Cricetulus griseus: one gene and its partners. The protein of the gene in region 1 interacts with the protein of each later gene in a biochemical or structural test. Links are inferred from orthologs where the notes say so. Each region holds a gene or a part of one and is shown in the gene's direction. Other genes may lie near its edges.

What was found. The genes of interacting proteins can lie anywhere in the genome.
Region 2: the proteins of Npr2 (region 1) and Nppb form a complex in vitro, tested with the Homo sapiens proteins (3 studies listed by BioGRID). The link is inferred for Cricetulus griseus from reciprocal best matches to the Homo sapiens genes NPR2 and NPPB.
Region 3: the proteins of Npr2 (region 1) and Nppa form a complex in vitro, tested with the Homo sapiens proteins (3 studies listed by BioGRID). The link is inferred for Cricetulus griseus from reciprocal best matches to the Homo sapiens genes NPR2 and NPPA.

Annotation. Positions count from the first base shown.
Region 1 is NC_048595.1:99,878,289-99,881,567, reverse strand, and holds the end of Npr2 (atrial natriuretic peptide receptor 2), read left to right. Parts: intron 1-1,613; coding exon 1,614-1,788; intron 1,789-1,858; coding exon 1,859-1,957; intron 1,958-2,229; coding exon 2,230-2,321; intron 2,322-2,434; coding exon 2,435-2,500; 3' UTR 2,501-2,779; downstream 2,780-3,279. Other genes in the region: Spag8 (sperm-associated antigen 8), read right to left, coding at 2,992-3,180, 3,271-3,279. UniProt on the Homo sapiens protein: Receptor for the C-type natriuretic peptide NPPC/CNP hormone. Has guanylate cyclase activity upon binding of its ligand. May play a role in the regulation of skeletal growth.
Region 2 is NC_048595.1:8,479,897-8,483,118, reverse strand, and holds Nppb (natriuretic peptides B), read left to right. Parts: upstream 1-1,218; 5' UTR 1,219-1,313; coding exon 1,314-1,439; intron 1,440-1,651; coding exon 1,652-1,874; intron 1,875-2,363; coding exon 2,364-2,380; 3' UTR 2,381-2,589; downstream 2,590-3,222.
Region 3 is NC_048595.1:8,467,176-8,471,134, reverse strand, and holds Nppa (natriuretic peptides A), read left to right. Parts: upstream 1-1,452; 5' UTR 1,453-2,021; coding exon 2,022-2,141; intron 2,142-2,240; coding exon 2,241-2,570; intron 2,571-3,028; coding exon 3,029-3,040; 3' UTR 3,041-3,326; downstream 3,327-3,959.

The DNA of each region.
Region 1 (3,279 bases):
CATGGTTTCAACCTGAACCCCCACATGCCATATCCACTCCACAGTCAGTGCTTCCCAAGTTTCTCCACCATCCAAGTGTTCTTTAGTGGATGTGACTCTAGCAAACATGGACAGTCTTGTCTGACACCTGTGATTCTCAGGGTTCCCTAGTCACAGCCATTGCACGCTTCAGTTCCCCTCTCTCTGTGTGTTATTAATACAGACACCTTCCATAAGAAGCACAGAGGATGTGGGGTGAAGAGCAAGACACAAATACATGTTATACAGCTATTTGTTAAAGTCATTGAGTTGGCTTAATTGTCCTTGGAAGCAAAAATGTGCTAGATTTGAATACTGATAATTTTATAGATAATTATGCGGCCTTAGACAAGTAACAGGGTTTATCTGAGCCTCAGTTGTTGCAGTAATAGATTAGGTATATGAAAACTGATGGGCTGGTGAGATGGCTCAGTGAGTAAAGGCACCAAGCCTGTGGACTTAGGTTCAATCCCTGCTATGTATATGATGGAAGGAGAAAACTGACTCTTCTGACTGTGTGTGTGTGTGTGTGTGTGTGTGTGTGTGTGTATAAATAAATGTGAGAAATATTTCTTAAAAGTGTCTAACATTGAGTGTGGCATATGGAAAATAATACTGCTGGGCATGGTGACACCTGTCTATCATCCCAGTATTTAGGAGGTTGGGACAGATGGATCAGGAGTTTAAGGTCAGCTTTGGCTACACAGTGAGACGATATCTAAACACAAATAAGGATATTTTAAAGATTACCAAACCCTCTCTGATGTTTCCCTAACAAAACGACAATAAACCCTTTACCCAATTATTTCTTTACACCGATTATTTATATTTCCTCCTTTTATTTTAGATGTCTTCCCGTCCCTGGAGTCTTTGTGAATCAAACCCATAGCTCTTTCCCCATGCTAAACTATTCTGCTCGTTGGCAAAATTCCAGGTCCTATATTATTATTTTTTTAAACTCATATACTTATTATGTGGACCATTTGAGAGGAAGTCTTAGTATCCCTAATACTTAGTATGGGCTCCCTACACATTTCTCTGTGTGCCATAGTTTTGGTACAGTTACCAAAGTCAATTGGCTGCATCTTCTCCCTCTGACAGTCAGGCTGCCTGGTCCACGTTACTGAACCTACTTTACCTTCTTTGGATCAGGATCCCGCTCCTGTCCACTTGTTCAACACAAGCCACTGAATATTCACCAGGTGCGGGGTTACTGAGGAGGAGTTAAGTATTCCCTGTCTGCCCTGCTCTTATCTGCAGATCCTCAGGACCATGGCATATAGTTCCTAGTCCATCTGGCCAGTCATGGCCTCCCAGGCTGTTAGGATGACTCCTGGCAGTTCATCTTATCTCTTTCTCATTCCCACCGATATAGCTAGAGATGACCTCTTAAAAATAGTTTTATCATTTTATTTATGTTTATTATCTATGTGAATATATGCCACATGTGTGCAGTTGTCCATGGAGGCCGGAAGGTGTCATTTCCCCTGGAACTGGAGTTACAGGGGGTAACTGAATTCAGGTTCTCTGGAAGAGCAGCCAGTGTTCTAACTAGTAAACCTACAGATGACCTTTTAATCCTCCCTTTAAATCAGGTGGAAACCATTGGGGATGCCTATATGGTGGTATCTGGCCTTCCAGGCCGAAATGGTCAACGCCATGCACCAGAAATTGCTCGCATGGCCCTAGCATTACTAGATGCTGTTTCTTCCTTTCGCATCCGACATCGACCCCATGACCAGCTGAGGTTACGGATAGGCGTCCACACTGGTAAGGTGAATTCTCACCCAGCCCTAGGGTCTACTTGTCTGGGTCTCTCCCAACCAGCTTGTATTTGTAGGGCCAGTCTGTGCTGGGGTTGTTGGTCTGAAGATGCCCCGGTACTGTCTTTTTGGAGACACAGTGAACACTGCTTCTAGAATGGAGTCTAATGGTCAAGGTGAGGACAGCAGCCTTTAACTCCAGCCTTGACCTGGGTCTGTCTTGCTCTTTTCTCTTTGCAGAGTTCCTCCATATCTCTCAGTTGGATAGTTAGTTCTTAAGTGCCCTGTCCTTGGGCATATATTGATTCCCATAAATGTGTACTGGGAGGATTGGAGGCTTTCTTGAGGGGTGGATGACTGGGTAAAGTACTCTCCAGCATGTCAATTTTTCTCTTGCCTTTTCTTTGATTCGTCTTTCTCCCTCTGTTCCTGGCCTGCACTACCCCAGCTCTAAAGATCCATGTCTCCTCGACCACCAAGGATGCCCTGGATGAGTTAGGATGCTTCCAGCTAGAGCTCCGTGGGGACGTGGAGATGAAGGTGACAGCGGGACATGGGGTAGTGGATCATGGGAGGATGAAAGTTGGGGGAGAGAGGGAGATAAAGGCACTAACACAGGAGAATCTCAACTATGCCCACTCCCCTGCCTCCAGGGAAAAGGAAAAATGCGAACTTATTGGCTCTTAGGAGAGCGAAAAGGACCTCCCGGACTCCTGTAAACCCCAAGCCAGACAATCTCCTGCTGCTGGTACTAGGATGGGCAATGACCACACAACAAAAACAGACATTGTCATTTGAGATGGAACACACACACACACACACACACACACACACACACACACACACACACACCCCAAACCAAAACCCTGCCTTATATGGAAGTCACAGCCTTCTGCAGCTCAGCCTTGTACATATACCTGCCCCTTCCTGCCTTCTTGTAAATATCTGTATCTAGACCAGAATATTTTGTCCAAGTATAAAACAACAACAACAAATCATGGTGTTCTTGTCTGGGGTCTAGGTCTTTGCAAGGGAAGAATATTGGGTATGGACACAGCTACTCATGGACTCAATGAATCAGCAGCTTCAGCAGGAGAGTGCTTTATGTAACCCCCTCATCAAGCACAGAGAATTAGCTCAACCCACACCTGCCTCTGCAGTATGAACACAAATAGACTCCAAATTCCATGTCTACTTCTCTCCTCAACCCTTAGGCTGGAGTTGTCCTTGTCTTTCCACACCCCTGCCCTCCTTCCTGACAGGCAATCGAAGACATTGACTCCACTTGGTTGGGGGAATTCTCAAAATCATAAGGCAAAGGCTGCCCCAGAGACAAGGGCACTGGTGTTGAGAAGCTGCACTTCTTCCGGAACGGTGTGTCCAGTGTCCTGATGTTACCCTGGAGGGAGTGTCAGGATAAGGACAGATGCCACCCTTCCCCAAGCCAGAACAGAAAAGCTCCCCCCAATACCTAGTCACCCCCACACACCTGTAGCGG
Region 2 (3,222 bases), about 91 Mb from region 1:
ACTCACTCTGTAGACCAGACTGGCCTCAAACTCACAGAGATCTGCCTGCCTTTGCCTCCTGAGTGCTGGGATTAAAGGTGTGCACCACCACCTCCTGGCAAGTCATGAGCTTCTAACTATCCCTTTTTCCCATCTGTGCCATAACCCACTGCTACTCCTGGTCACTGTCCTTCACCACGCTGACACTTGTTAACACAGATTCTGCGGATGGGGTGGTGACATTGGTCACACATGTTTGGGAGGTATGTATCCCAGGGCCTTTTCCCCTCAGAATCTCATCTCTCATCTGAGATGGGAGGCTGGTGTGTTAGGGAGAAGTCACTCATGGGTGATCTGATAAGAACACTGGGGAGAGGCCCTTCCCACACCTCTAGTGTCTAAGCACCCTTTCTCTTCCACTCATGGTGGGGGAGGAGACTCTGGCACCTGGAGATGCCCCCAGAAGGCATTCCTACATGACCTCATCTCTGGGCCAGGCTCTCAAAATTCTATCCTAATCAGTTCTCCTCATTAAGGGACAGAGAGAGGGTCGGAATTCCAGAAGTTCTTTGTCATATCCCAGTTTTTAATCAGTTGACACTAGAGAGTGAGCATCCTTGGGCAAAAAGTTTCACAAGGTTTTGGGGGGTGTGAGAGACCCTTCTGGCCTGGAAATGGGTTGAGGAGAGAGTGGCAGAGTTTGTGTGACGTTCACTTGTGGAGATCAGAACCACGGACAGCTACTAGGGTGCCGGGAAGCGGTGCAGTCCAGCGGTCCAGCCCAGCGGTCCAGCCAGGTGCTCGGAAGCCGGGCAGGGCCTAGATTACAGGTTCTGAGGACACTCTCTCGGGGAAGCTGGTGATGGTGGGTGTTGCCAGGGAGTGTTTTCAATGAGTCACCCCATAAGCCCCACACTCGGCTGCAGGCGAGGGAAGCTGGGGTTCTTCTCCATGCCATCTCCAGTAGGGGTGGGGCAGGATGTTAAAGACACTCAGACGATTACATGAAAGGAGGGAGCATGTTAGTGTCCCCCGCACACTCCTACCCTAGCCCAGCCCATTTCTATACAAGGCCCGCTCTCCACAGCCTCCACCCACAACGAATACCCCACACAGGCACAGAGGGGGGAATTCTCAGGCCCTGAGCTCAGCAGGCAGGAATGTGGCTGATAAATTAGAGATAACCCCACCCCCTACTCCATGAGAGGGCTGGCCGGACACCCAGCTCCAGGATAAAAGGCAGAAGCACCGTGGCTGAAGACGCCAGAACACAAGCTGCTTGAGGAGGTGGAACAAGGCACCGCCACAGCAGCCTGGTCCATCACTTCTACGACATGGATCTCCAGAAGGTGCTGTCCCGGATGGTTCTGTTCCTGCTTTTTCTTTATCTGTCACCGCTGGGAAGTCACTCCCACCCCCTGGGCAGTCCCAGCCAGTCTCCGGAGCAATCCAAGATGCAGGTGAGCGCTGAGGGGCTGCATAGACGGATGGGGTCTGCCTGAAGGGTTTGGGCAGCGGCAAAGAAAAGACCTCATGTCCTTTGGGAATTAGCCTTGTGAGACTCGGGAAGCAGCAAGATTGAGTACCAGGACTCTTAACCAATGGGCACCATGGAGGAAAGGGAGAGCCAGGAGTGTGTTTCTGAGGCCTGGGTTCCCCACTCTCATCACAGACACTGCTGAACCTGCTGAGGGAAAAGGCAGAGGCGGTGGCTCGGGGGCAGCTCCTGAAGGACCAAGGCGTCACAAAAGCACCTCCCCAAAGCACCCTTGGGTCTCAAGACAGCACCCTCCAGGTCCTACAGAAACTTCAAAACTCCAAGAAGATGCATAATTCGGGCTGCTTTGGGCAGAGGATAGACCGGATCGGCTCAGTCAGTCGTCTGGGCTGCAACGGTGAGCTTCTGCCTTGCCACTTCCCTGCAAGCTGTGCCCCCACCCCATCCCCACACATGGCATGCCACCAGCAGAAGTCCCTAGGTCTGCTATCCGGCATACTTGCATAGCTCTCCACCTTGCTGACGGTCTTCAGGACCAGGCAACCTGTCAGGAAATGTCACATGGGTGCTTCGTTACATCCTCACAAGTCACCACCTCCTACCTTCCATCAGAGGGGTCAAATGCACCTCGGGGTGCAGACTGCCTGTTGTTTGACCACCCCTTCATAGAGGAAAGAGCATTTCCTCTCTGTTTTCTCCACACTGAATTGTCAAAGGCAAAGGGCACAACGGACCCACTTTACAGTAGAAACTGAGGCCCAGTGAGATTGCTTTTTCCAAAGCCGTAAACTTCAACATCCTTTGGGGACTGCAGGTGGAGGGCAGCTCAGCCCTTGCCTCAGTTTCACCCCCAAGTCTGACATCTCCCTGTCTCTTTTCCCCATAGTGCTGAAGCGGTATTAGGATGAGCTCCCAGTTGCAGACACCGCCCGGCTCCTGACTCCACCAAGGGCTCCTTCCCCAACCCTGGGACCCCCTTTTGAAGTGATCCTATTTATTTATTTATTTATTTTTATTTATTTGGTTGTTTTCTACAAGACTGTTTCTTACCTTTGAGCACAAACTTTTCACAATGTAATAAACACGGCATTATTTCTTGCTTTTGAAAATGATTTGTCTCTCTGTGTTTCAATCAGTCTCTTGTCTTTTTCAGTTTGTGGGGTTTTTTGTTGTTGTTGTTTTGTTTGTTTGTTTATTTTTTGATATGGGGTCTCTCTTCATAGACTCTGCTGTCCTGGAATTCACTCTGTAGACCAGGCTGGCCTTGAACTCATAGAAATCTGCCTGTCTCCTTAAAGGCATGCCACTATGCCTGACTCTAGTCACTCATCTTAACAAGGAAAGAAGCAAGCCCCACAAAATATGTTTCCCGCAAGGTCCCAGGGCATCTTAATGGTGGAAGAAAGACAGCCCAAGGGCTGGGCCAGTGAGGTGTCTGAGCTTTCCTTTCCCTCCCAGTTTTTAACATTGTGAGGTGCCAATCCACACCAGAAACACCTGAGACTCCTCACAGAATCTGTTCTTCAAAGTGTGTGTTTGATTCCGGGGTGCAGAGCAATAAGAGGAGGGGATCATAGCATTCGCGCCCCCCCCCCCCCCGCCTGGAACTCCATCATCAAACACTCTGACTAATCTAGGAAACCCAACAAGGATGTCAGGGATGAAGGCTGTGTGTGTGTGTGTGTGTGTGTGTGTGTGTGTGTGTGTGCGCGCGCGCGCGCGTGCGTGTGCGCGCACGCGGGCAT
Region 3 (3,959 bases), about 91 Mb from region 1:
ATTTGGGACTCAGCTGAAAGGCTTCTTAAGGACTGGACTGAGAGGGTGATGGGCTCCTCCACTTGTCAGACACAGAGCACACACTGTGGAACATGGTGACACAGAGACGTGGAGAGCACTCGGAGCGTCCTCCATCCCTGCCCCTTAATGGAACCCTGAGAACACAGAAACTCAGTGGATGGCACTTATGTCCTCTCCAGTTCCACTCTTGAAAATTGACTTTGACCAAAGGAGATGGGCGGGCCTTGAGATTGCCCTCCTGGAGCATGACTGCTCAGAACGTCACCTCTCCTAGGGCCACCTCTGCGCTTCAGATATGGCACAGGACAGAAAAGTGGCAGAAGGCCTCAGAGCCATTTCTCAAGTCTGTGCCTGATTCAAAGGCCATCAATCTCCAGGAGACAGGCCATGTGGCACACACCGCAGGGGACCTGAGTCCCCCAGTAGGGATGCTTTGCTGAGTCCTCTTTGCTCATAATTCACAGCCACACACTTAAGCATTGAGGGCATCCCAGGGACTCATCCGGAGGCGACAGAGTTTGGACCCAGAGTTCCCACAAAGACTTGCACTGATTTCATATTTCAAGTAGAGATCGGCTAGCCCAAATTGGTTGCCTGCAGCCCCCAGCTTTCTCAAAGGGCTCTCTCTCTCTCTCTCTCTTTCTCCTGTTTTAGAGAACATCACCACAGACACCTCTTGTGACCTCCAGCCATTGTGGTCACATGACAACTTCAGCAGGCAGCCACAGCCTGAGGACGGAACTAGCCATCCTGAAAACAGCTATCTGGGCCCTGAATGGCGGGAGTGGATTAGAATGTGTGGGAATGGAATTCGGGTCTGCTGCAGCCCGTAAGTGAACAGAAAGGAGAAAACACACGCTTGTCAGACAGCAAAGCTTGCGCAGTGTTGAGTGTGGTGACACTGAAGTCTCGAGAGCATTCAGTGACTGCCATGCTCCTGCAGATGCCAGAGGAGTCAAGACTTTGATGGCTCACTTCCTTGGCCTTGGAGGTCGCGAAGAATGTTATGGAGAACTGTGTGCCCTCCCTTCCATCACCTCCCTTCTTCCCTCTAATTCCCTGGGAAGCTGGGACCATTTTACACTTTGTACTCAGACTCAGAGCTTTTGAAAACAGCAAGGCCAAGAAAGAGAAGCGGAGGCATTCTTCAAGCCTGTCTGTCCCCTTGCACCTTGGACCAAGTCTTGGGAGACAAGAACAATGGGCTTCAGAGGAAATACGCTCTATCGTCCCTTGGTGTTTATACTTGTAGCTGAATTCTTAGGGCCTGTATCATGCTGGCTTCCTGGCTGACTTCACACTCTAAAATAAAATAACTCTTTCACCTGACTGCTAACACGCATATCTAGGGTGGGGGTGGGCTGTCGGGGGCCAGAGGTCCACCCACGAGGCTGATGAATCAGGTGTGAAGCCAGCTCCAGCATGTGCACTCCCTAGCTGGTCTAGCTGGCCTCCCAGCTGCCTGTCATTTCCTCCCCTCCCACCCTTATTTGGAGCCCCTGACAGCTGAGCTGCAAGCAGGGGGAGCTGGGTGCAGGCCAGCCGTCACCCTCTGCTTCCCTGCATGGGTCCCGTTGCCAGGGAGAAAGAATCCTGAGGCGCGCGCCCGGGGAGATAACCAAGGACTCTTCTGCTCTTCTCACACCTTTGAAGTGGGGGCCTCTTGAGGCAAATCAGCAAGAATGTGACTCTTGCAGACGAGGGTCTCGGGGAGGGGGGCTACTGGAGCTGCTCAAGGAGAAGGGGCCGTGACAAGCTCTGCTGGGCTGATAACTTTAAAAGGACATCTTCTGCTGGCTCCTCACTCCATCGCTTTATCGCTGCAAGTGACAGAATGGGGAGGGTTCCAGCCCTCCTGCGTTCTCAGAGAGCTGGGGGGCTATAAAAACGGGAGGCACTGGGCAGCTGGGAGACAGTGACGGGCAAAGGCTGAGAGAGAGAAGCCGGAGAGGAGTGAGCAGAGACAGCAAGCTTCAGATCGTGCCCCAACCCTCGCCAGCATGGGCTCCTTCTCCATCGCCATGGGCTTCTTCCTGCTCCTGGCCTTTTGGCTTCCAGGCCATATTGGAGCGAACCCTGTGTACAGTGCAGTGTCCAACACAGATCTGATGGATTTCAAGGTAGGGCCAGGAAGTGGGGCACAGACTGGGTCTCTTTGGTGCTGAGTGCATTCCTCTAAGACATCCCCCTTCCCCGGCACTTATTTTTCCTTTGTAAAGAACCTGCTAGACCATCTGGAGGAGAAGATGCCATTAGAAGATGAGGTCGTGCCCCCTCAGGCCCTGAGTGAGCAGAACGATGAGGCACCGGGGGCAGTGCTCAACTCCCTCCCTGAGGTGCCTCCCTGGACTGGGGAGGTCAACCCACCGCAGAGAGAAGGCAGTACCCTTGGGCGCAGCTCCTGGGAGCCCTCCGATAGATCTGCTCTCTTGAAAAGCAAACTGAGGGCTCTGCTGGCTGCCCCTCGGAGCCTACGGAGGTCCAGCTGCTTCGGGGGTAGGATCGACAGGATTGGGGCCCAGAGCGGACTAGGGTGCAACAGCTTCCGGGTAAGAGGAACTGTGGATGGAAATGGCATGGAGGTTGGGTGGGAGAGCAAACTCAATACTTCGAGGGAGTATCTTTGGCAGCAGAGAGACCAGTGCAAGTGTTTATTCCTTCTGAGAGTTCTGCCCCACTATGTGGATGTTCCAGAAGTCTCAAGACCATGCCAACAGCTGCTACAGCCTCTGAGCACCAGCTGGGAAGTTAGAATAAAGGCAAAGTCACCTTTGCGCTGCTGATGGGCAGTTAGTGTTCTTCCCACAATTGTAAGAGCCTGGCATATTTCAATGAAATGGACTAAATCTGCCTGCCTTAACGTTTATGGGTTACTTGTTTGCCAGTTTATGACAGGGGACCATTGGGCTGGACTGTGGCTGGTGGGAAATAGGGGATCACTGGCCAAGTTGAATGTTTTAGTACAGTAAAGCCAGATCATCAAACCAATATATTTTTCTCTTTGTAGTACCGAAGATAACAGCCAGGGAGGAAAAGCAGCCAGATTTGCTGGGGCAGATTGCAGAAGACCCTAAGCCCCTATGGTGTGTCATGCAGCTTGGTCTCATCGTCACTGAGGTGTGGCGAACACCCTGCTGGAGCTGCTGCTTCCTGTCTTCATCTATCACGACTGATGCTAAATGTAGATGGGTGGTTTCAATGGGGCTCTCCCTCTCCCACCCTGCATATTAAGGTAGATCCTCACCCCTTTCGGAAAGCAGTTGGAAATAATTTTTTTTGAATAAACTTCAGCACCAAGGACAGAAGCCGAGGTCTGGGTGCTTCTTTCACTTTTGGCCCTCATTCCCCGGTGTCCCCCACCTTACCCTTTGCTGTCATTTCCCCCTTCCTGACTCTTCTTGGTGAGTGTGTGTGTGTGTGGGGGGGGGCTCAAGACACAGTGCTCTGCCACTCACTCCAGCCCCAGTCACAGATGGCGGAAAAGTCCACCCAGACTGAAAGGTCATTTATTTCCAACTCATCTTTTCCTGGCGGCAGGTACTGACGCTTGTGCTCAGCTGACAATTCCTTGCACCCCTCTCACTTTTTGATTACAGCTTGGGTGATTTTAAGGAGCATTTAGAGAACCAGGGACTGTCCAGATCTTCTGTTACCTGAGCACCAGCTGCTGCAGCCATGTGAATTACACTTTCAGTTTGGATAAGAGTGGAGGGTGGGTTACATAGTGGGGAGCAGTGAAGGACGGTTTCCAGGCTGAGTGGCAAGTTCAAATGCTTTGTGAATGACCACACCGACTGGTGCATCTCTTCCTATTTATCTATCTCACCAACGCATCCCTACCTATCCACCTATCTCACTAATGCATCCCTACCTATCTTACCGCTGTCATCAATCTGTGCCAGAGATCAAACTCAGAGCCAAATGCATTTATAAAATAG